Astyanax mexicanus: one gene and its partner. The protein of the gene in region 1 binds, or shares a complex with, the protein of each later gene. Links are inferred from orthologs where the notes say so. Each region holds a gene or a part of one and is shown on either strand. Other genes may lie near its edges. The genes, in order: tbc1d23 and stx16.

Region 1 (12,254 bases):
TCATCACACACCGCTTGGCTACAGGTTACTATAGATATAATGTTTGAGAAGGTAATGCCATGCAAATCGCAAGCACTACACAGTGCTTCTGCCCCATTCCTAAACCAAGCACATTTCCTGTAGTAAGAACGTATCTGACACTGCAAATCTCCAGCTGGACGCTACATGTGTAAATCAGCAGCTCGAGATAAAGACTGGAGCTGATTCTCTCGACTTCCTATTTAATTTAACATTGTTTTAAGAAATAACAGAATTTAATTGTGTATTACTGAAGAGAATAAACTGACCCAGTTCATGGCATAGGAGTCTGGTGTGATTTTTTTGGTGTCCAGGAATGAGCAAAGCTCAGGCTCGTGGTACTGCAGCAGTAGTCTGTACAGGTGGAACGGCCTGCCTTTCTGCACACAGTCTCTACAGACAACAATAAACAATAGGTCAGGTGAAAGGAAATGCAAGAGACATGGGAAATCCCAAACACCATTTACTTTATGAACAAAATGTAAAACACTACTACAGATAAACACCTGTTTTCTGAGAGCAATTGGAAAATGTCTTAATTCTGCTACCTCCACCAGGCATGTTAGTTTTACACATTCTACAGATATGTGAGCTTGATTAAGATCACATAAAAACACATTCATACCGGGGGATGTATTTGTTCATGACAGCATAGAAGCAGTTGTAGAGGTCACTTCGGGGCAGCTGAAGACCCAGCAATGGTTTTAGAAGGTGAGGCCAAGCCAGTTCTGCAGTGAAAGTTACATTTCTGGACTTGCAGTAGAAAGTGATCACCGCCTCAACGTCTGCCACCAGGTCACGCCCATCCTCCACAGGCAGAGCTAACTGATCTGCAGGGGTTAAGAACACAAGAACAGGAATTAGTCATCGCAGGTAATGCTCATTTTAAACAATATTGCTCTGCTGCAAGCTACAATAGATAAAAAAAATTTCAAAATAATATTAAATATTTGTTACAGCCCTTAATAACAGACTGTGTATTTTTGCATCACTTCGCTATAATGCAAAAAAAAAAAAAAACAGACAACCACTAATGGCTAACCTGAGCTAATTATTAATCAATCATTTCATTTTTGCTGCATGATTGTTGGTCTGTAATAACAGTTATTACAGACATTTACAACTAGGGCGGTACATTATTAAGTAACTTAACAGTAACTTTTATAACCTTCAGATATATACAGGTATATGGCCCACAAAAAAAATCATGATAAACAATTAATTCGTTTTTTGAATAATCGACTAATTGAAAAAAAATAATTGCTCAAATAATCAATATAAAAAAAAACAATAGGAGCGCCACATGTTAAATGTGTTGTGTAATTACACAACCTAAGCAGAGTAATCCATCTATAACATACCACCAGCAAACATACCACCAGTAGTTAGACAATAATTAATGTGTAACTTCACATTTATGACTGATTGTAGCCCTCAGTGAGCTTATAAGAGATTTGATCAAATAACGCTGCATGGGGACAAAGTCTGCTGTAGAGTCTGGCTGCCTTAGTGTCTCAGTCTTGCTTTGGGTGAGCCTGGAGGCTAAAGTCTGCCTGTCCCAGTGCAGAAATGAAGTTATTTTTCTGGGTTAGCTCCCTGCAGTGGCTGCTATACCCCAAAGTGCTGGAAATTCCCTGAATAGAATCAGTCTGCTGGAGTCAGACGGTTGTGGGAGGGTGGAGTTGGACAGGGTGATGAGTAAAGCACTGTGTGCTTTATCTATTCACTGCTTCCTTAAATCAGTGTTTTGTTAACTGCGTTAAAACTAACTATTACTGTTTTCATGGTCTTTGTACAGGAAGACACAACTGTTTCACTTTGGGAGCATGAAACAAATTCCTAAAAAAAAGTAAAAAAAAGCGGTATTTTAGTGTGCTGGTATCTAAATTTGGGCTGGGCAGTATTACTGTAATACCATAATGCATAGTATTAAACATTTTAACAGTATTTTTAAACAAGGACAATATTTCACAAATTTTGAAAAAACAACTATCATTTATGAAAGAAACTCAACTCAACATTCTGTAATTGGTCCAAACATCTGACACTGTGGTTTGTTGCACCTTTAACATCTGTTGTTTTGTTTCAGACCCAACTCAAAAGTTCAGTCCAAACAAGACCATAAACTGCCGTGTGAAACTAAAAGTAAATGTTCCAATGCTTGTATTCTTATAGTGTATGTGTTCTGTGGGTCTATGTATTGAGCATATAGAACAGTATGAAAGATAGTCTGCAGTTAAAAGAGAAATGTGATATAGATTATTTACCAATGAGCTGCTGGCATCTGTTGTGTATTAGCGTCTGTTCTGGCAGGTCCAGAGCTCCATCCCAGGAGGACAGACTGTCACCTTTACCTGCCACATTCAGAGCAATCTGAAAAAGAGAAAAAGCGCAAGAGAGAGGAAGCGAGTGATAAAACTCTTGCATCCGGACTGCAAAAAAATATATAAAATAAAAAATAAAAAATAAACAGAAGGACCAGTGAGTTTTTTTGGCTTTCTTGGTCACGTGACATCGCGTTCAGAAGCTCCTCCATTTCCACTGGCTGATGTGTTTACATGGATCCCCATGGAAACGTGCACCCAAAATGTAATTACAGTGCATGGCAGCAGACAAATACCTACTTTATTAAATGCGAGGAGACGAAACTCAGACATGTGGATCCAGAAGGGACTAAAATTACCGGAGGACCAGCTATCCTGATCCTCTTAGAATAGGGCTTAAAATACATACAGCTATACTGATTGCACAGGATTTTATTTAGGGGTTTAGGAGTAAAGGCAGCTTTACACTTTTGCACATCACAATTTTCTTATTTTATTTGATTAGAACTTTGAAAACCATGCATCATTTTTGTTCAACATTACAATAATGTGTTACTTTGTGTTGGTCATTTAAAATCTAAATAAAATACATTTGTTTTTGTGGTTGTAAGGTGATAACATGTGAAAAGTTCAAAGCACTCTATGTAGTGTATGTATATTTTATACACATCTTTCTGTAATTTTACCAGAACCTTTATTTTAATTGTAAGTATTTTCCCCACTGTTCTCATTTATTTTGTAAGGGCAGAAAATTTTAAGTGATTGGGGTGAGAGAGAATAAGGGTTGTGATGCTGTGATACTGCAGCTCAGGGCGTTTGATGACAGCCCTAGTGGAGGTCATAAAGCTGCAGTGTGTGGTGTGTCTCACTCGGCGCTGCCCGCTGTACCCGGATCAGATTTCTCTAATGAACAGTGGATCAATACCGAGGCTGTCTGCACCCGCAACCCGGTTACACAGCCTTTGCTCCCCATGCAGAGCTTCAGCACAGAGCTTTATCAGATCAGAACAGCATGCTGCCAACCGCGTGCTATGGTAATATCCATAATAGCGGTATGATGTGTAGATTATCTCATAATAATGTTGTACGGATGGCATACCATATACTTACCATCCAAAGCTTGGCTCTCTGAGGTGGTGGCAGGTCTCGGACCTGGATAATGCCATCCTCCTCTGTATCCAAATCACCAACTGCAGAGTCCAAAGCATCACCTAGGTCATGGTCCCTATAAAACACACACACACACACACACTTTTAAGAGAGCTTAAACTAATTTGGTCCAACTTTTAGATTGTTTAGTTAGGTGGACCAAAAGGACCAGAATGTGTTCTAAAGAAGAAATGTTCACAGTCTGGACGAGCTGAACCATGGTCTGATTGGTTTGCACTTTAAAACACATTTTTGTGCGGTCCAAACCAATTACAGGAAGTTAGGCTATCATCACCCTTTAAACAATAGAAAAAGAAAAAGAAGCGGTGTTGTGCGGGAATCTGATTCCCCTTGGTGTACAGGCGCATCATACAACAGTCTGGATACAACAGATTACACTGGTGATTCCTATATCTAATGTAACTGTAGATTAACCCTTTTTTAAAACATATATAAAAGGAATCCCGGGGGAAACACTCAATACACCAATCAGTGTGAAGTATAGGGAGACTCTGCCCACATAGTTGGTGATGTTAGCTTGTAGTTAAGTAGTTACGTGCACTTAGTCACTAAAATACAGTGCGAAACCACAACTAACCAGACTAAATGTACAGAACACAAAATTCAGACTTGATTCTACCTGGTTCAGACTTGGATATGTACATCATGTGTTTCAGGTGTTCTGCATGTTTCCATCAGTCTAAACAAGCTGCACTAATGCTCTATATGCTACATGAATGATATTTCTAGGACGAGAGTGTTCCACCATCTGCCAGGCTGCTACTGGGCTAAACAAAAATCCACTAACAAAGACGCTCCATCCCACATGCCTTCTGTCTCTCTCTCTGTCTGTCTTTCTCTCACACAAACACACACACACACAGTTGAGAAAACAATATCCATCACTCACAACTGACATCATCGTTCCACCATAATGGCAGAAACCTGAATGCCAACAATAGAGACGCCATTGTGGAGCTCAGGAGCAGAGTGGGAGGAGTCAGACAGCAGTCAGTGTTGACGGAGCAACAGATCTTCACATCTTCACATTCCTATACCCCTTCCTTAACCCAAAACATCAACCATCTAAAAGATAAAGCTGTGCCTGTGGAGCGTGAACAATTTAGCTTTACAGCAGCAGCACTGTATACATACACACACAAAACACATAAAAACACACACACAAACACGCACACAAACATACAAACACAAACACCCATCACAATAACAAGGTGGACATAAAGTGTGGATATATTGACGCAAAAAGGATTATAGTAAACATTACTACTGATATTTTATGGCACTAAAATTATACATATAATAATTGTTTATTACTACAGTTGTGTTGTGTTATAATAAAGTTAATTTAGTTTGGTTAAATTAACTAAATACAATTAGTAAAATTCTACATTTTGGCCATTCACATAAATGTGCTCTTCTCTGTAAGAAAACCTAATAGGCAATATTAAGCTCAGCAAAAATTGACTGCATACAAGTCCATATATTAAACAATAATATGACCAATCATGATTTAAAGTTAAAATACATGTTTTTAATTACTTATCTTTAATAAGTAATTAAGCTGATGTACATATATTCTAATTATTGTGACAGACCTATATGACACCTATCAAAACTTTAATTTATCCAGTGAGTAGGCCTGTCACAATAATTGCAATATCGATTTATCGTACAATAAATTAACATGATCTCAATTTTTTTTTCGATGATATCGTATGTATTTTTGTTCACACATACAACAGCTTCAATAACTGTGACTCCATACACACAGTGTGGACTAAAGTAGGTGAAGAATTAAGTATATCATTCACAAACTAAATAAAATAAATTATTGTTTAAATGTTTGTTGTCTTTAAAAAGTGTATAATTACTTTTTTCTAAGCTATTCTGTTATTAATAGTCTTAAAATTACAAAAATATTGAGTATCGCAATTATTTCTGGGACAATGTATCGTACACAAAAAATTATTATCGTGACAGGCCTACCAGTGAGCAAAACTCAGTTCAACTCAAATGTATTTCTATAGCAAATGTCACAAAGCAGCTTCATAGAGAAATAGGTACAAGCCTGTGCCATGTGTGTGTATTTAAGTAATTCACTCTAATCATAAAACACATCTATTCTGCAGAATCTTGTTATCCACTCCACAAACAACTGAGGATGTTTAGGGGCAGAAAGAAGACCTATACCGTATTAATACTGGATGAGGTGGGGAGCTGGGGATGAGGTGGGGACCTGGGGATGAGGTGGGGACCTGGGGATGAGGTGGGGACCTGGGGATGAGGTGGGGACCTGGGGATGCACATATCATTGATAATGTGAATGATCGTGACAGGCCTACACATGTACACACTCATTCTCTCTTCCTCCATTATATCTCCCTGAACTCTCCAGAGGAGTGTGTCCACACTTCCTGCCTACTGTTTTATATTCAGAAGAGGAAGACAACACATTGCATTGTACACAGCAGCTGTTGGCCTTCTGTCTACTTCCTGTAGTCTGGCTCATTAACACACATGCTAATCTCGAATCTCAGATACACACTGTATTTTTTTATCATACAAAAATACTTTTCATACGGTCCCAACATTTTCTAATTTAGGGTTGTATATGTATTACCAACAACTAATTCTTATACTTGGTAACTTATTCTTCAGGTATGGAAAGTGTGAATACTACTGCTGTAGTGAGTAAACACAAAAGAACTATCAGCACCGAATCACTGATATCAGCCTGTGGCTCCTCCACAAACAAGCTTGCAAAGAAGCAATAAAGCCCTGACATCAGACGGACTAGACTGACAGACAATATCACAATACACACAGGATATTAAGTGTTCAGAAAAATCTGGACGTGTGTTTGTGTCATTCAAACATGTATAAAGTACTTGAGATCCAGACTTGAGTAAAAGTACAAGTGCTCTTTTAAAAAAGTAAAACGTAGAATTTGAAGTGTTCTTTAAGCACCACACTTAAGTGGAAGCCCTATAGCCCTATTCAACATTTTTTGTGCTTAAGTATTGCAATTAGTTTATTTTAAAATGTACTACTCAAGTACTGAAAGTTATTCATTTTGTCTGCATGTCAAAACCTGTATTGTGATAATGTCTTTAAATATTGCAATATAATATTTTACCCTATCACCCAGCTCTATCAGCAAGTGATTACACGCATAAAAGGGGGTGGCTTATATACTGTTCACAATAAGGACACATTATTTAGACAGAGATCATAAAGACACTACAGTAAGACTGTAAATTACTGATTTCCACACTAGTGATTTGCTAAGAAGGTACTGAAGGCAGACCAATGACTGTGTAAATTATATTCAATAATATAATATAAACTTCTGACTGACAAAACCATAATCCCAATCACAACCTTTGATCCCAAGAGCTGATTTCTATCCATTCTTAGAAATGACAGAGAAATCAGTGCTCATATCTTTTTTTTTTTTTTTAGATTTTAACTAACGTTATTTAACTAAATCAGTTAAACTAAAAATAACGTTTAAAACGAAACACAATCACACGATCAGAATGACTGTCACAACTAACCACTGCTATTCCAGCTGAATCGATCACTTATCAGCTATTTATTTACACATTAGCCAGCTGTCAGTGGAGAGGGGTAATCCAGGTCCAGAAAGTAAAGATCCTGCCCAGGATTGTGTTCTGAACGCCTGAGCGGATCTGCTGCGGCTAAGCAACACACAGAAGAGCAAAGGAAGTAAGAACAAAATCCTGGGATGGATTCCTACACTCTGGATCTGGACTTCTTAACTCTGGATGTCTGTTAGCCAGGCAGCTAGCAGCTAAATCCTACATTTACCTCAGATTTCCTTAAGAAGTGAGGAGTAAAATACTAATAGGCTAACTCCGCCTGCTCTTCAAAGCTGCGCGACTCTCTGTTAAAAGAGACCAAAATGTATAAACACAGTTAAACCAGGCGCTGAAAACCCAGCCAGCTAGCTAACAAGCTAACTGTCTAGCTAAACAGCTCCACGTCTTCGTCCAGAGTCGCGAGGCCGGAGCTCAGTGGAGCCGCTGTCTGCGTCCCTCAGTCCGGCTAGCTGAAAGCACAGCACCGACGGGGCTAACCCGCTCAACCCCGCCGCCCTCACACCGGGTCACCCGGCCAGGACAGGCAGACAGCCCCCCCGGACCCCGCATGTTACAGAACCCCCCTCTGAGAGCCGGTTCTGACCCTAATAAAGCCCGGCGGACCGAACCTTACCAGCTGCCCTGAAGAACTTCCTCCACACAGTCCGCCATTGCTGCGATCCCGCTCCACGTCACAGCGGCGCGCGGGGGAGAGGCCCGCACCTGTTCACGCGCAGCACTGTTCAACTTCCAGTACAAACAACACATATATATCATCAGTGTTTACTGAGTTCATTCATTAATATTACACTGTTAAAAGTTTGGACAGAGCTTAAATTCAACGTTTTTTATTATTTAAAATTGTAAAAAAAAAATATTTAAAAGGTTCTGCATTGTAGATTAATACTAAATTCATCCGAACTATGAAGTGAAACAAAACAAGTGTTAAACAAACCAGACTACAGCTCTAGAAAATCAGTTTCTCTGATTTTGCTATTTATAGGTATATGTTTGAGCAAAATTAACATTATTGTTTTATTCTATAAACTATGGACAACATTTCTCCCAAATTCCAAATAAACATATTGTCATTTAGAGCATTTATTTGCAGAAAATGAGAAATTGCTGAAATAACAGAAAGCTGCAGAGCTTTCAGACCTTAAATAATGAAAAGAAAACATCAAAGAAAACATTTTCATATTATAAAGTTTTAAGAGTTCAGAAATCAATATCTGGTAGAATAACCCTGGTTTTCACAGTTGTTATGCATCTTGCCATTATGTTCTCCTCCACCAGTCTTAAACACTGATTTTGGATAACTTTATGCACTTTCTGGTGCAAAACATTAAGCAGTTCAGCTTGGTTTGATGGTTTGTGATCATCTATCTTGCTCTTGATTATATTCCAGAGGTTTTTAATTAGGTAAAATCAATCTCTAATTTTTTCCCCAGAGCTGTATGTTATATATTTTAGGCACCTCTTGCTTAGGTTACAGCTTTGCACATCTCTAAATTTTCCCAGTCAGCTTCATGAATGACTTGAGTATTCATTAACAATGTAGGAAAAAAACAATACAATCATTGAATAAGTACTAATTGAGTAATTGATTGGTACTGTATATATTGTAGTAGTCAATATCCATCAAGTTTTGTTTCTTTATTTTACTTTACATTACAATTACACAAGAAAACATTACCAACATTACTTTTTCCATCAACACATTTTCTTTCCCACATTTGTTAAATTTCAGTATGAGGGCACTGATTGTACACAGCCACATTTCAAAAGTTTCATAGTCAAACAAATGAACAAACAGGCTACATTCACACAGAACCCCATAACTTATTTATGCAATGCTCATAAAACATTATTATAAACAGGTCTTATTAAATCATTTTCAGACATGCAGCAGCCTGGAATGATTGATTTCTCCCCAAAATGCTTAGCTTTGAGTTGCAAATTCAGTTCATTTAGCTAAACTCATCACAGAACAAGCAAACTCAACCCAACAGGCAATACAGGAAATTTTACATGCGTTTATATGCTTTCTCCTTTTTCACTGCAAACATAAATTTCTAAACATGTCAGCTTTTAATATACACTCATATACTCTTATTTTCTCAAAGTTTTAACTTATTTTAAAGCTTATTTGAGCTGAACAAAATATGCTCATCCTTAAAGAAACAATTGCAAAAACAGATGCCCCCAGAAGAAAGTGTTGGATTTTAATGCTATTCAGAAGGAAGATAAAAGTTACCAGGGTCAATAAATGATTATAATTGTGGACTGAGATGAGTAATATTTACTGAGCTACACATTCAGACATAGTGTGTAACACTGCAACATGCCAGAGGATGGATTTGTAGAGATTCTCAATTCATCCCATGCACCTACAACATTCTCACACAGTTCCTGCGGATTGTGCGGTAGGGGTGGATCGTTGAGTGCAGTGTCCAATAACACCCCAAACATTTTCTATCAGAGATAGCTCTGGAGATGCAGCTGTATAATCAAAGTAAGCTCTTGGTATGGCAGCAGTGTGTGGACGAGCATTGTCCTGTTGGATTAGTGCACCGTGTTCAGTAAAGGTAGGGCCACTGGCTGCAAGTTACATATTAAACTAAATTAAACCCCACACCATGACAACATGCCTTCTGAACATGTGATGTGTGACAACAAACCAGATTCGTTTGTTGTCTACATCAAGAAAAAGAAAGGCCTTTTCACTGAAAATGATATGAAGTTATTCTGAGTTATTCCCCGACAGTCTGGCACAACTAATCAAAGGGGTTTTATTCCTGTTGGTTATTCCTTCTGGGAACAACTAGTTTTTAATGATGGGTGCATATAGGGCCATATTAATATTGGTAACTATTTTCATTTACGCTTTAATATTAACAGAAAATCAATTCAACAGGAGTGCTCATCCCCTCCCTAATGGTCAATGGTTCTCACTGGCTCTTCCAAGCATTGGCTGCCTAGTTATGCTGCACTAATTGGTGGAAGTTAAAAAAGAGGCATAGTCTGACTTCACATGTATGAAAGGAGGCATGTTCTGGAGTCATAGGGAGAGTTCCAATGAGTGGGCAGGTTATTTGGCTTAGCTAAACTGAAGAAAAAAAAAACATTCTGGAAACTTCTAAATTGGTGAAATGCTTCATGGTGGTGCACTGACATCAGCCATCAAATAGGATGTATACATAGATATTACTATAACGTATGTTACAGCTATAAGGAAAAGTGTGAAAGCCCTTTATTTTGTAAAATGTTTATATATGCAAACGAACGCTACATATAATCTCAGGACGTCCCACGTCCAGTTCACATCCAGGTTGAGATAAGGCTACAAGCTCAAGAGTTAAAAAATAAAATAAAACAGAAAACAGACCAAAAAAACAGAATCGATGACGCACTGTAATATTTCATTATTTGCTATTATTATAATGAGGACAAATTGCCCACAATCTACATCAGACAGCCACCTTCAGCCTTGTTTGCAGGGATGTCATAAATAAGAAAACCTGGGCTGCTACAGACTAAAATCATATTTGATTGTTTTTATTGACAAATTCAGGTTCTGTTTAGGATCTGACAGCTAAATCAATGCTGCCTTTGCTGTGGATCGACACTCTGCTCCAACTTCTGGTGCGATTGATGATCCGGGGAACATAGCATGCAACAGTAGGTCACCCCTAGTAGTGATACTAGGGGTTCAGCAGATACATGTGTTATCTCACATGGCAGGACTTTTTTTTTCAGCAGGATAATGCTCACCCACACACAGCAAGAGTTTGCCAGGAATGTTTCCACTACGGTGCAGCATTTCCTTGTTCTGACAGATCTCTAGATTGATCACCAATCCAGCATTTATGGGAGCACCTAGGGAGCAGCCTTAGTAACCTATCAGTGTAGAACAGGATCTACAGGCCCAGCTGTAGCAACATCTGTGGGTAAATGTGCTGCAGGATCCATACAGAACCTGTAATACTCCATACCCAACATTCTCCATCTCACTTTGTATCCAGATTAGAAGCTCCAACAGGGTTTAAACTAGCGCCTCCTTTCAATTACAGTATTGTTTACACCAATACACTCATCCTTTCACTATAATATTGTAATCACTCTAATATATCATTGACACAAAGTCCAGTACATTACAAATATCCCCTTTTCTGTACGTTATTTTTTTTGTCAATGAATGCAACGGGTTTCTGTGTTGATTTCTGAATTTCTGTACATTAACTAGAGGACTAGAGGGTTATTGCATATTTTTTTGCTGTGTTCATAGTATTGTTTGATTTTAGAGCATGTATTTAATTTAAATTGAACTTTGGTTGGTTGTACTTGCTTTCCCATTGTGGCAAATACATACACATGAAAAAAAGAGATGCTACTTTAATGAATTAATTAAAAGTATAAAACATCCTGTCCCAAGTTTTGAATGCACTGTAAACTTACCGCAAAAGTAGACTGATTATTAAGGCGTTCATAATCAAAGATATCATCACACTAGCTGAATGCCATAACACTACATCAAAATTACAGCGGAGAGTCGTAACATTTATTTATAAAGAGAAATCTCACTCATGCTGTACAGAATATAAAAAAAAAAATCCCACAGTCCCAAAATTAATGAATAAAAGGAAAATGAAGAAAAATATAATCAAAAACAGACAAGTAAAATGAATTCACTTTATGGCCCAAATTTAAAGTCATGTGACATTAGTTCCCCGTTTAGAAATAAAATGTCAGTAATGGCAAAAACAACCCACTGACAGACGTCTTTTAACACACAGCTTACACACATTCAGACAAACACACTGTTACGTCCCGTAAAAGAACGTCTACAATCAAACCCTACGAGATATATATTTATTATATATATATATATATATATATATATATATATATATATATATATATAACGGTGGCAGAACTCTGTGCTAAGGAGAATATCGGAACATCTGGAACATCACAGAACAAAAAAGGAAAACAAAAATAAACTGAACTGAAATTTTTCACATTTTTCATTCTCCATTTTTAAACAGCGTGCACAAAATTTAGTGTCCCCATAAACAAAGAAAAACAGAAATAAACAAAAAAATATACAAAAAACAAAACTAACCTCCATCAATTATTA
Region 2 (12,667 bases), about 3.4 Mb from region 1:
CACGGAGTCCCATCCAGAGAGAACAAGCAAGGAGAGAGAAAGAGAAAGGGAGAAAACAGGGCAGTAACCCGAGAGCAAATTAGAGAAGAAGAGCCTCAATGATCGGCATCCAAATATAAAACTTCATCACTGTCGACCCTTAATGTAAAAAGAAGTTATTACAGTATTTTTGGATTGTTCACAGCTACGGTTTATAAATAAACTTAACCAATTTAAACATATAAACAAATAAAGAGCAGGTTTTGATGACAGTGCTGAAGATAATTTTAAATTAATTGAATCCTGTTTAATTTGATCACAAATAATAAAGCATTATAGTAAATTACACATCAACTGACACTTGGTCATGTATTAACTTCTTAGATAACATCTTTGGTTCTCTGAATTCTTTCTGGGGTTCTACCACTATTAGGGCCCTTTGATTTCTGCAAGTGGAGAACACAAATGGAGTTTAGATATAACCATGGAAATACAAAGAATTAAAAATATAAACTATCTAAAATCTGTATTTTTTTAGTATCTGTACTTATTAAATCCAAAATTGCTTCTGATTAACACATACATGCACGTACATCACAGTGTGTGTACAGATAGCTGGATAACAGAGGTGTTAAAATGTCTCAAAATACTAGCTTTGAATATGCCAAAAAAACAAACAAAAAAACTCAGGGCAAAGCAGTATCCCAACTGCTTTTCTGCAAGTTTTGTTAATTAAATTTCATTAGAAATAGCATATTGTTTTATTTGTAGGTAGATTTGTACCAATTCTTCAGTTTAAATGGTACGCACTGAAGCTAACTAAGTGCTACTTTCGTTCTCTTGGGGAGAAACTATTGAGTTAAATTACAGATTGCATTGATATTCATTTTAAACAATTATAAACGCATCTATGCTTTTTTTTTCATGTTTTTCATTGATATTCCCACAAGTGCTGAAGACCAGTACTATTTCTTAAAAAAAAAAAACTGTTAAAACCCTAAAAACCTGAAGTGTAAAGAAAAAAAAGATTTCATAAGGCCATACACTATGTGAGTTTAGGAAAGACTTGCAGAATAGCACTGTTGCAGAACTAGGGGATCAAAACTTCCTCCAGTAGGAAGTAGAGCTGAAGACCATTCCTAATGAACAGTCCTGAACTCTGGGCTGTGGTTTCCCCAACTGAGAACCACAGACTTAAACAGAACAACACTCACTCAGCATGCAAACCAACCAAACTTCTAACAAGGACACATGCAGGTCTCACAAAAATGCACATACAGCAGAATTAAGCGAAGGAGCCACCACATCACCATTACAGCAGAACCCACTTTCAGCTAAATGCCAACAGTGTCACAAAAAAACATAACTATTACATAATATAAAAATAAAGAGGACAGCCAGAGTAATAAGTGCTAAGGTTCTTCATATACTTTGATTGACCCCTGACCCCAATAAAACTTTAGGTGTGCACAGATGAGGCAAAACAGGATTATTAACTACACCTGACACAAATTACCCAAAAAACTTGTAAAGCCCACTTCAGTTTGCAGTAAACAGGACTTTTGGTGCAAAAATACAGACACGGGCCGATGTCCGGTTGGGTGTAGAGTTAACCCAATGAACCCAATGAATCTGTTTACCATGATGAGAACAATGTTCCTACCAAAATTCGTAAGCACTGGGCGAAGACTATTAAACCACAGTATTATAATCATACAGCACTTCCAGGGGTGTGTCAGACTTACTACTGTTACCAGCAAAAGACAACAATTTAGCATTTAAAGCATAGTCGGAGAAATAGAACCACTGCGAAACCATGATCCAGAATTGTGATGTCAGATCAAAACTTGTCCTACAACACTTAAATGTGTAACCTCTTCAAAACCCCTAACATCATCAAAATATATCCATTTTCTGGTTTTATGTGACAAATCAAGCAAATCAACTTCCTGCTATTTTATCCACATTTAAAATATCTACTTTTCTTTTGCAGTTTCTTACATTACACATGCCTGATGTTCAATTTTCCAAATATCTAAAGAATCTGATATAAAACCTAGGAGGAGTTCACAAGTGTGAGAGTTTCTCACAAGTTTAAAAAATGTGAGAAAACGCATTAATTTCAAAATAGCCAACGTCTTCTTGGGATGAGTCTAGGCCTGTCACGATAGTAGAATTATTGAGATAAACGATAATATTGTCATTTGAAAGTGGCACTACAGAAAGCTTTTTTCCTTCTTCTGCGCTACCAAAGGAGCTTTAAGACAGTGTGCCACAGTAATAAAATACTAGTATAATAATATTATTACACCATTTTACAGAAACTTTTTATTATTAAAAACAGACATTGGGCTTCCAATAAAGAAATATTTTAATATCCTAAATAACTAAAACAAATAATGTACAACCACCCTGGAACTCTGTGGGTTCTGAGAAAACGGCACTAAATATTATACAGACCTTCATATAAAAAGTAAAGTAACAACATATAGATTACAGTAACATTTACATTAATTCAACTTTTTTTTTTATCTGGACAGGCACTTACAGATTATTTTCTCTGATCATATATGTAAATGCTGTAAAACATACATTAACTCAAAAAAACAAGTGTCCATATGATCAAAGACACAGGTGGCTCAGCAGCCCATAGCTCTTGCCATAGGCGTAGGAACCGGGGGGGATGGGTGGGACATGTCCCCCCCAAAAATGATATCAGTTCGCTCAGGTCAGCTGTACTATTAATGAGGAGACAGACCGGACCAATCACGGAGCCGGTTCAGGTATTAAGTCACGCCTCTCAGTAGAAACAGCCAATCAGCTTGCCGGTTTTGCGGCGCGCGGAGCAGAGGCAGTTTGCTGTTGGGGAAGCCCCGCCCCCTCGCTGTGAGATTTAGCAGCGGGATCGGGACGCAGCAGCTTCAGCTGATTTTAAAACAGAGATGAATATACGGAGATTTTACTAAAATAAAGGTAACAATAGGCTAACCACTTCAACTGTGATGATATGTTTCTGATAGCTGGTTAAAAATACACGTCTCTGAATCAGCACACAGTTTAAACCCACTGTGATTAATAAACTGCAGCTGTGTTAGTGTGTAAGCTTATCTTTGGAATTAACTAGATTGGGAGTCAGGGTTAAAGGAAAAAAATAAAATATATATGTAATGTTTCCCTGTACCTGATCAGCTAATCACTTTAATTTTCAAACTGTTTATTCATTTAGGATTACAGGACTTACTGTGAGCTATAATGAACGAAAATTGATTTAACTAACTAGTTATCTAGAAGCTGGATGTAGATGATCGCCAGAATTTCGTACAGTACTTTAAGTTGGTAGTTTAAAGCAGTTACTTAACCCCGATCACTGCCCTAAACTAGTGTTTTCCACCTGATCAGCTAATAAACAGTCATTTACTGAGTTTACCTGTTAAAATCCTTTAGCCCCCTATGGAGCCTAAATTAATCATGTATATCCACCAGAGGAAGCTCTAGAATATGCAGAACAGTTTTAATATGCAGTAGAATATATAAGAACTGGGTTGAGAAACACTGCTGTAACGTGACTTCTGTTCATTTGTATTTCACAGTAAGACCACATGTTCTGAGGTTTATAAAAGTCTCTATGAAACGTAAAGTTACATTCTTTTACATAAAAGGACACCATCTTAAGAAGAGCTCTCAGTAGAAAAAAATAAAAGTGCAGGAGAAAATGTAAATATACAACAGAATTGACATGCCAATAATAATAATAATAATAATAATAATAATAATAATAATAATAATAATAATAATAATAATAATAATAACAATAATAATAATCTGTTATATTATTTTAAATATTAGGTGATAACTGAAAATTTTTGTCATATGTACATAATTCAGACATTGCTTGTATAATTTTTCTAACAACAGTAGCTGTAATGTGGAGTAACATGTTTAGGTTGTAAAATCACCTTATAATAATAATTTACTTTTAATTAAAAGTAATTTCCACAAATGTTGTTCTAGGAAACTATTGGGTGGGCTTGGGTTCATATTGGCAAATGTGTCCCCCCCAATATCAAGCCCGCTCCTACGCCCTTGGCTCTTGCTATAAATGTATTTTTTTAATGTAACTGTCAGAAATAAATTTGAGCAAGGAACACCAGTGCTTGAGGCAGGATCTCTCTGGGGGAACCATATTCATATTCAATATTCAGCTCAGAAAGTTGGGCTGGATGGCTGTGCTTTAAATGAGATTTTAGCTTCGTTTCCACTGTTTTGAAACAAAATAAACCTTCTCTAAAGCTGTTTAGTTTTGAGAAAGTCATATTAGCCTTAAATACGTTCGCAAGCTAACACACACACACACACTCCGCTGTGCACGCATGTGTGGATGCACTGGCACTGTCACACATAAGCTATGCGTGCACTACACTGATTAACCGATAGATGTCACTGTCTGACAGATTTGTCTTCGTCTCAGACAGAGAGTCGGCGAGAGAGCAGCGCAGCGGGACTCGCTGAACTGTAGCTCCGATTTATTCTTGTGTAAACAATCCCACGCGGAAACCCAGTGGCAAAAACTGTCGTGGTTTAAAAAAATGATCGTACGTTAAGTCGATAACATAGTTATCACGACAGGCCTAGATGAGTCACTTAGACCAATACTTAAAATATTAATGTTTTTTGGTCTCTCAAGAAAATAAATTTTCATCGTCTCTGCTATTAACTATTACTTCAAAAATGACTGGAGTTTATCCCTGGAGTTTATATTGTGCTATCACCAATAAGCAAATATGCACAGAACCATCCTGGCACCACTATTGTATATACTGATGTTTCATATAATACAAAACTCAAGTGTTATGTGAACGGTTTAGCAATGTGTACATAGAAACAAACTAATTTCTCTCGAATTCACAGTTGTCTTCGCACACATAAATTGTTGAAACACGCAGGTAAATTTTTTTCACCAGGTATTTTTGCACCCCCGACTTTTGACATTGATGTGACGCCATACCACTCCTCAAAATGCACTCTGAGAACCATGTGGGCGTGGGCATAATATTCTCATGAAAGTGCGTGACTAACAGCTGTCTTTCACTGGCGAACAAACGTTTGTTTAAATTACCATGGCAACGCACACAGCCATGAGATGGAGAAGCTGAACCAATACCTTACAAACGCTGTTATCAGTCCCTGTTACAGAAACAGTGCGTTTCATTCCCTACACGCTTCACTTTCAACACTCACAGTGCATCCCTAAATGTAGCGTACAGATTAATTTCCAATATATAACTTAATATACTATTGGTGGTGTTGTGTCAGAGCGGCACAAACAAAGATCCCTAAGGCGTAAACAAAGAATAGTGAATATTAGTGAATGAGTGAGGGACCTGCTGGCGTCAGTCTGGCCCACTTTAGACCCGCCCATCTAAAAAAGAGTGACACTGGGAGTGAAATACAGCAAGGACCTATCAAAACCTATCAGGAAGATCTTCATAACAAGTTCTCTGTACTTTTACACGGGGGTAGCGGCAGGCAGAGAAGCCAAATTAACCCGATCAGAAAGAGAACTTAATGTAAAGAGTCCGTGCGAGCGATAATAGATGATCTGCTGCTCCTTGGCTTACAACACGTAAACACATGCAGTGTTTGGTGTAAAACATCAAACCATCAGGCTACACCTCACACACGGAGCGCGAGCTCGCTTCTTAAAGGAACTCTCAGTTAGATGGTGGTGCAGTTACAGCACTGAACCCTTAGGAGCCACAGTGGAACTGCTGCACCATTTCAGTTGGAAAGGTCAGTTCGTGTAAGAAGTCTGAGTCAGTCTGCTCACACACACACACACCTAAGCAAATCTATACAGACAATTAACAGTGGACTCACCGCAGCATTGCTACGTGTATTCAGAGCTCGGCGGGGCTCGTGTGTACTCACTTGCTCGGCCAAAATCTGCCGGTTTTGGATCGCATTGTTCCGCATTAACAAGAAGGCGTCGGTCAGGCGCCTAGTTGCCATGGCTACTGTTTTACCGGAGCGAGCGCGCGAGAGGCCCGTGCGCCCTAACGCAGCTTTTCTACGGTCAGATCAGATCGTCCGTCCAGTTAGTCTCTCTGTCCGGATAAACAATCCGCCAACGCCACCTCCTTTACACCTCCTCTACACCCGCCCGGCTGCTCCCTCCGCCGCGCCCCGCCACGGGCGAGTCTGCGTACAGTCCCAGTTCTCCACAGATCCACATAAAGGCGCGCTCCGTCACCCCGAGACGCGCTGAGATACAGCTACAGTACCCCGCAGTACATCACGGCCTCCACGACGACAACACTACCGTGTGCATGACGAGCCCAGAGCGTCACATCCGCTCAACAAAGATGTTCTCAGTGAGAGCGAGATCCTCCAAACCAACAGCACGCTGAATAAAACAGCGCATTACATTGCTGTTTCCATCAGCACTGAACCGTAATATCAAACCAGCCCGTTAGTTTATTCCCTTAATATTACAGACGCGTTTAAATATATGTCCCTGAGTTTGACCTAAAGTGCCATCTTGTCTCCGTTTACGATCTTCACGACCCGTTTTTGAACAGAGTAAGTTACAACCAGAGATCTTCTACAGAGGAGAATATCCACTCAGTCTCTGGTGGGTTTGCCAGTCCACCAGAGGGCGCTCCCGAGTGAGTTCAAAATGAAGTTTATAAATAATTAAGAATTAATTTGGTGCAGAGTAATGTACTTATTTTCTTTTAAAATATTTCTGTATGGCTTAATATTATCAAAACGAAAAGGCCAGTCAGCACACAGTAGCAGTAATGCTTTATTATTTTTTTATTCTTACAATACGTAATTCTACTTGCGAAAGAACAAGAATATTCTGTTCATTAGGTATTGTTTTTAATTCATTCATCATGGTATACAACCGACCTTCAATGTTGAAATGTGGTTGAAACATGACTAAAGTAATGTCTGTTGTTGTTTCAACGTTGAAATGTTCAATAGTTGTGGTAACGTTGAAATTTTAGCGTTAAATCAACGTTTAATGTTCAATGGTTGTGCTATCATTGATTTTTTTATGTTAAATCAACATAATGTCCTCAACCTTCTGCCTTTTGAATTAGTATTTTATATTTCATCACCATATAATTTCTAAAAACGGTTGAATGGAGAAATAAAAAGTTTTTTACTTTTATTTGCAGTAACTGCTTTTTAATTTAACATCATGTTCATGTTCTAATAGTTTTACTGTTTTAGTGTTTTTGAGATCAGATGTTGAATCAGATTGGTAGAGGTGGGTAACTTTTGTTATACTCAGCTTTACTGCAGTGATCATAGGCGTAGGAACCGGGGGGGATGGGTGGGACATGTCCCACCCAATATTAGAAACAGGTGTATTTGTCCCCCCCAAAAATGATATCAGTTCGCTCAGGTCAGCTGTACTATTAATGAGGAGACAGACCGGACCAATCACGGAGCCGGTTCAGGTATTAAGTCACGCCTCTCAGTAGAAACAGCCAATCAGCTTGCTGGTTTTGCGGCGCGCGGAGCAGATGCAGTTTGCTGTTGGGGAAGCCCCGCCCCCTCGCTGTGAGATTTAGCAGCGGGATCGGGACGCAGCAGCTTCAGCTGATTTTAAAACAGATATGGATATACGGAGATTTTTCTAAAAGAAAGGTAACGATAGGCTAACCACTTCAACTGTGATGATATGTTTCTGATAGCTGGTTAAAAATACACGTCTCTGAATCAGCACACAGTTTAAACCCACTGTGATTAATAAACTGCAGCTGTGTTAGTGTGTAAGCTTATCTTTGGAATTAACTAGATTGGGAGTCAGGGTTAAAGGAAAAAAATAAAATATATATGTAATGTTTCCCTGTACCTGATCAGCTAATCACTTTAATTTTCAAACTGTTTATTCATTTAGGATTACAGGACTTACTGTGAGCTATAATGAACGAAAATTGATTTAACTAACTAGTTATCTAGAAGCTGGATGTAGATGATCGCCAGAATTTCGTACAGTAAGTTGGTAGTTTAAAGCAGTTACTTAACCCCGATCGCTTCCCTAAACTAGTGTTTTCCACCTGATCAGCTAATAAACAGTCATTTACTGAGTTTACCTGTTAAAATCCTTTAGCCCCCTATGGAGCCTAAATTAATCATGTATATCCACCAGAGGAAGCTCTAGAATATGCAGAACAGTGTTAATATGCAGTAGAATATATAAGAACTGGGTTGAGAAACACTGCTGTAACGTGACTTCTGTTCATTTGTATTTCACAGTAAGACCACATATCCTGACGTTTATAAAAGTCTCTATGAAACGTAAAGTTACATTCTTTTACATAAAAGGACACCATCTTAAGAAGAGCTCTCAGTAGAAAAAAATAAAAGTGCAGGAGAAAATGTAAATATACAACAGAATTGACATGCCAATCATACCTGTCAAGTCTCCCGTTTTGGCCGGGAAACTACCGTATTTTACTCCTCTTTCCCGCCGTCCTCCCGTATTAGTATTTTCCCGTAAATTTCCCGTATTATACTAAATAAAAAAATATATAGGCCACAGGCGACAATGCACTGACCGCTGTGTGTCTCTTAACCAATCGTGGTGCCGGTTCAAGGAGAAAGTCCCGCCTTTCAGGAGAAACAGCCAATCAGCTAGCTGGTTTTGCGGAGCGCAGTTTAGTGTGCGGGAAGCCCCGCCCCTCCCCTCGCTGTGAGTTCAGGCAGCTAGTCGGAGCAGCTGTCGTTAAAACTAATCTGGATATACGGAGATTTTTCTAAAAGAAAGGTAATTAACCATGTAAACTGTGATGAGATTGTTTCTGATAGCTGGTTAAAAAGACTCTTCTCTGAATCAAAACATAAATTAAACCCACTGTGTGTTTAATAAAATACAGCTTGTGACTCAGTTAGCTTAACTTTAGAATTAGCTAGATAGATATTCAGTGTTTGAGAAAAATCTACATATATATATATAATGCCCTGCCCTGATGTGCCTGATCAGCCAATAACTATCATTTCCAAACTCTATTAGTTCAGGGCTAGTTTTAGGGTTTGTTAGAATTTATTTAAATTTTATATATATATAAGGGACGAGGGAAACGAGGGAAAAAAAAAAAAAAAAAAAAAAAAAAAAAAAAAAAAATATATATATATATATATATATATATATATATATATATATATATATATATATATATTTTTTTTTTTTTTTTTTTTTTTTTTTTTCTCCCTCGTTTGGGCTGTTGGGGCGGCGGAAAAAATCCCTTATTTTTAAGTCCAAAACTTGACAGGTATGATGCCAATACATAATAATAATAATAATAATAACAATAATAATAATCTGTTATATTATTTTAAATATTAGGTGATAACTCAGACATTGCTTGCATAATTTTTCTAACAACAGTAGCTGTAATGTGGAGTAACATGTTTAGGTTGTAAAATCACCTTATAATAATAATTTACTTTTAATTAAAAGTAATTTCCACAAATGTTGTTCTAGGAAACTATTGGGTGGGCTTGGGTTCATATTGGCAAATGTGTCCCCCCCAATATCAAGCCCGCTCCTACGCCCTTGGCAGTGATGTAAGTTTAATGATAACACTTTGTTAACCATAGGAATTTCTAATTTTAGTGAGCTATGGGTTATTAAAGGTTGAACTTATGACGTTGAAACAACGCTGCTATATCAACGTTGATTCACTTTTTAAAATCAGTAGTTGATTCAACGTTGATTCAGCCATAATATCTACGCTGATCAACGTTGATACAACGTTTATTTAACGTTGAAATGCCAGCTGGGTAAGTTTTGGGCGTGGGGGGCACTTTGAGTGTCAAAATAAAAAGGGAAACATAAAGCAAGATTAGTGCTGTCTGCTGGAGATTTACTTTTCATTTCCCACTTTTTGTTTTCAACTTCAGCAGCATGCAAATACACGTACATTAACTGTAGGCGGGTCTATAACTACAGAACCTCCCATGAGAGCAAGGCGCTGGGGTGTTTTCATTTCAGCTTTATTTTTGGCAGGATTTACATCCCTTACTCACTCACGGGCCCCTACTAGTGTTGAGCAGAGTCGTTTTCTGCTTAAACGGCGGAGGGCAAGATTGGAGTCTGGCCACAGGGGGCGCTGTTGTGCGTTCCGTTGTTTTTTTACTGTAATTTAAACTGTCCATACACTACACGACTTTGAAAATACTCCGAAAATACTTTTAACAGACTGAAGTCTGACCCCCTCTCACGTCTAAAGACTCGTTACAGACTTTTTACTCACACAGCAGTCACAGGCTATGATTTTACAAAGACTGGGGGTCACTAACTGCAAGGCTGCAACTAGATTCTTTCTGAGATTATTTCCCATCATGCTTCTGGTGGAGTTTACATACAAATATTACCTATTAAGTTACAAATAATGTGCATATCAATATCAGAGACTCACAACTTTGTGTCACCATCAACAATATATTTTTTTCTGTCACACTGTTAGTTCTTGTTTTTTTATAGAATACATTTTGTGTTCAACTCATCCTATAAGCTTCATTACACCCTGTTTTGCTACAACCTTGTAGGCCTATAGCAAAGAATCACAGTTTTACTGCTGTACATTTGCCTAGAATTAATGCAATAAAGAACATCATTCTCGCAAAATGATTTTATTAAACTTGTTTGTATTAAAAAAAACACTGCACAAATAAATAACTGTGCAAAATAAAATAACTTTAAATATATAAAGACTTTAAAGTGCTACCTGTGTTTAAAATACTGTACATATTAAAGTAAGAACCATATAAGACCTATTAATTGCAAAATGTGTTCCTTTTTTAATCGTCTCTAAACAGTCATGTGATATATATTCTTGCCTCTTCCCGTAGCTCTCCTATTGGTTGTTGACCTTGTTCACGTCATTATTTGCGCGAGCTGAGTTTATTGCGATAATATTAAATGCGGTTGATTTTATCTAATATTTCTGATCGGATGAAACTGAGAACTAAAACAGTTTTGTGAAGAGAAATGATCTAAAATTCCTCCTGACTGTTGTGCAGGTCTGATCTGCAACTACAGGAAACAGCTTGCACCTGTCACTTTGGAGCTATAATAATTAGTATAATAATTCAAAATGTGAAAAAAAAAGAAAATTACTCAAAACTGTGTATGCTTTATGAAAAACAAACACTTAATATTGAATTATTACATCTATTAAACATTTTATTTCTATTCACTTACAAGGCTTCATTCAGTGGATTTACAGGTTGTTCTTTGTCAGCTGGATTATATATGTAACCTGCACATCATTTATTTACATGTGCAGATCACAGAAGCCATTTTCATTTATTGTATACAAACAGCAAATTATTTGGTATGCTCCTGCAATTGATTCAGAACAACTGCCTGCTGTTTCTCAAATTATCAATCAGTCTGGAAAAGGTTGCAGTTTCTAAGACTTTGGGAAAGGGCATGGACAACTCATCCAGGAGGTCCTAAAAAACCCAGAACAACATTTATAGAACTGCAGGTCTCACTTTCTTCACTTAAGGTCAGTATTAATGATTCAATAATAAGCAAGAGACTGGGTGAAAATGGTCTCCATTGGAGAGTTCCAAACCAAAAAACACTGATAACCAAAACGAACGCAACGGCCCATCTCACATTTACCAAAAAACATCTTGATTATCCCTAGAACTTTGTGTAAATATTCTTTGTATTTACGTGACAAAAGTGGAACTTTTATGGAGTCTGATTGAGATGCTGTGGCATGACCTTAAACAGGCTGTTTATGCTGGAAATCCTCCAATGTGGAGAGTTAAAACAATTCTGTAAAGTAGAGTGGAAAAAAATCCTCCACAGAGATGTGAAAGGCTCACTGCCAGTAAAAGCTTGATTGCAGTTGTTGCTGCCAAGGGTTGTAAAACCAAGTTATTAGTTTTAGGGGGCAAAGACATTTTCTAGATTTTCTAGAAGGGCTAGATTATTTGAATAGTTTTTTTTTTCATTTAACAAATTCTATTTAACTTTTTATAATTATTCATGTTATTTTTGTCTGATATTAAAGTTTAATTGATATTTGATAGAAAAATATCATTAGATAGGTAGATAGTTTGATAGATAGATAGATACTTTATTGATCCCGAGGGGAAATTCTAGACATCCAGCAGCAGGTATGTATAATACACAAAGTTACAAAATGAAAAATATAAAATATAAAGATATAAAGATACATATAAATACAATCAAATAAAAAATAGAACGTACAATGTAAAAGTACAGTCTTTAGTGTGTGTGTGTAATGTAGACTGGAGGTAGTGCAGTTGAACAAAATAGACAGTGAACACCAGTTGTAGTGCATAAAGTAAGGATAACTGATGTCAGCCATACAGAAAGTGCAAATACACAGTTATATAATAATTTAAATTTAAATTTAGCAGTGCAAAGGTACGTAAACAGTAGATGAATGAACTAGGGAATGAACTAATAGGGTAGAACTATAAAAATAGTGTTATAGGCATGGTTATAGGAGTGTGTCCATAGCTGAGGGTGTGTCCATGGTGTGGCCAGAATTACCAGAATGAAAAAGTGTCAGAGTCTTCAGTTTGCTGTGCTGAGATGAGTTGAACAGTCTTATGGCCTGAGGGACAAAAGACTTTCGGAGTCTGTCGGTGGAGCAGGACTGGGACAGCAGTCTGCCGCTGAATG

Evidence for each region.
Region 2: the proteins of tbc1d23 (region 1) and stx16 are in contact, whole or in part, in a crystal structure (PDB 8QQF), measured with the Homo sapiens proteins. The link is inferred for Astyanax mexicanus from reciprocal best matches to the Homo sapiens genes TBC1D23 and STX16. Residues at the interface, in NP_001186127.1 of Homo sapiens: Leu638, Asn639, Ser640, Val641, Val642, Lys643, Ile644, Thr645, Ser646, Lys647, Lys648, Ser661, Ser662, Ala663, Ile666, Thr683, Lys687, Ile690, Met691; in NP_001001433.1 of Homo sapiens: Asp209, Asp210, Asn211, Thr212, Leu213, Tyr214, His215, Arg216, Phe218, Thr219, Glu220.

What each region holds. Positions count from the first base shown.
Region 1 is NC_064412.1:47,166,544-47,178,797, reverse strand, and holds the start of tbc1d23 (TBC1 domain family member 23), read right to left. Parts: upstream 5,840-12,254; 5' UTR 5,825-5,839; coding exon 5,703-5,824; intron 3,568-5,702; coding exon 3,453-3,567; intron 2,392-3,452; coding exon 2,286-2,391; intron 849-2,285; coding exon 644-848; intron 412-643; coding exon 288-411; intron 1-287. UniProt on the Homo sapiens protein: Putative Rab GTPase-activating protein which plays a role in vesicular trafficking. Involved in endosome-to-Golgi trafficking.
Region 2 is NC_064412.1:43,723,682-43,736,348, forward strand, and holds the start of stx16 (syntaxin-16), read right to left. Parts: upstream 6,311-12,667; 5' UTR 5,989-6,310; coding exon 5,857-5,988; intron 1-5,856. UniProt on the Homo sapiens protein: SNARE involved in vesicular transport from the late endosomes to the trans-Golgi network.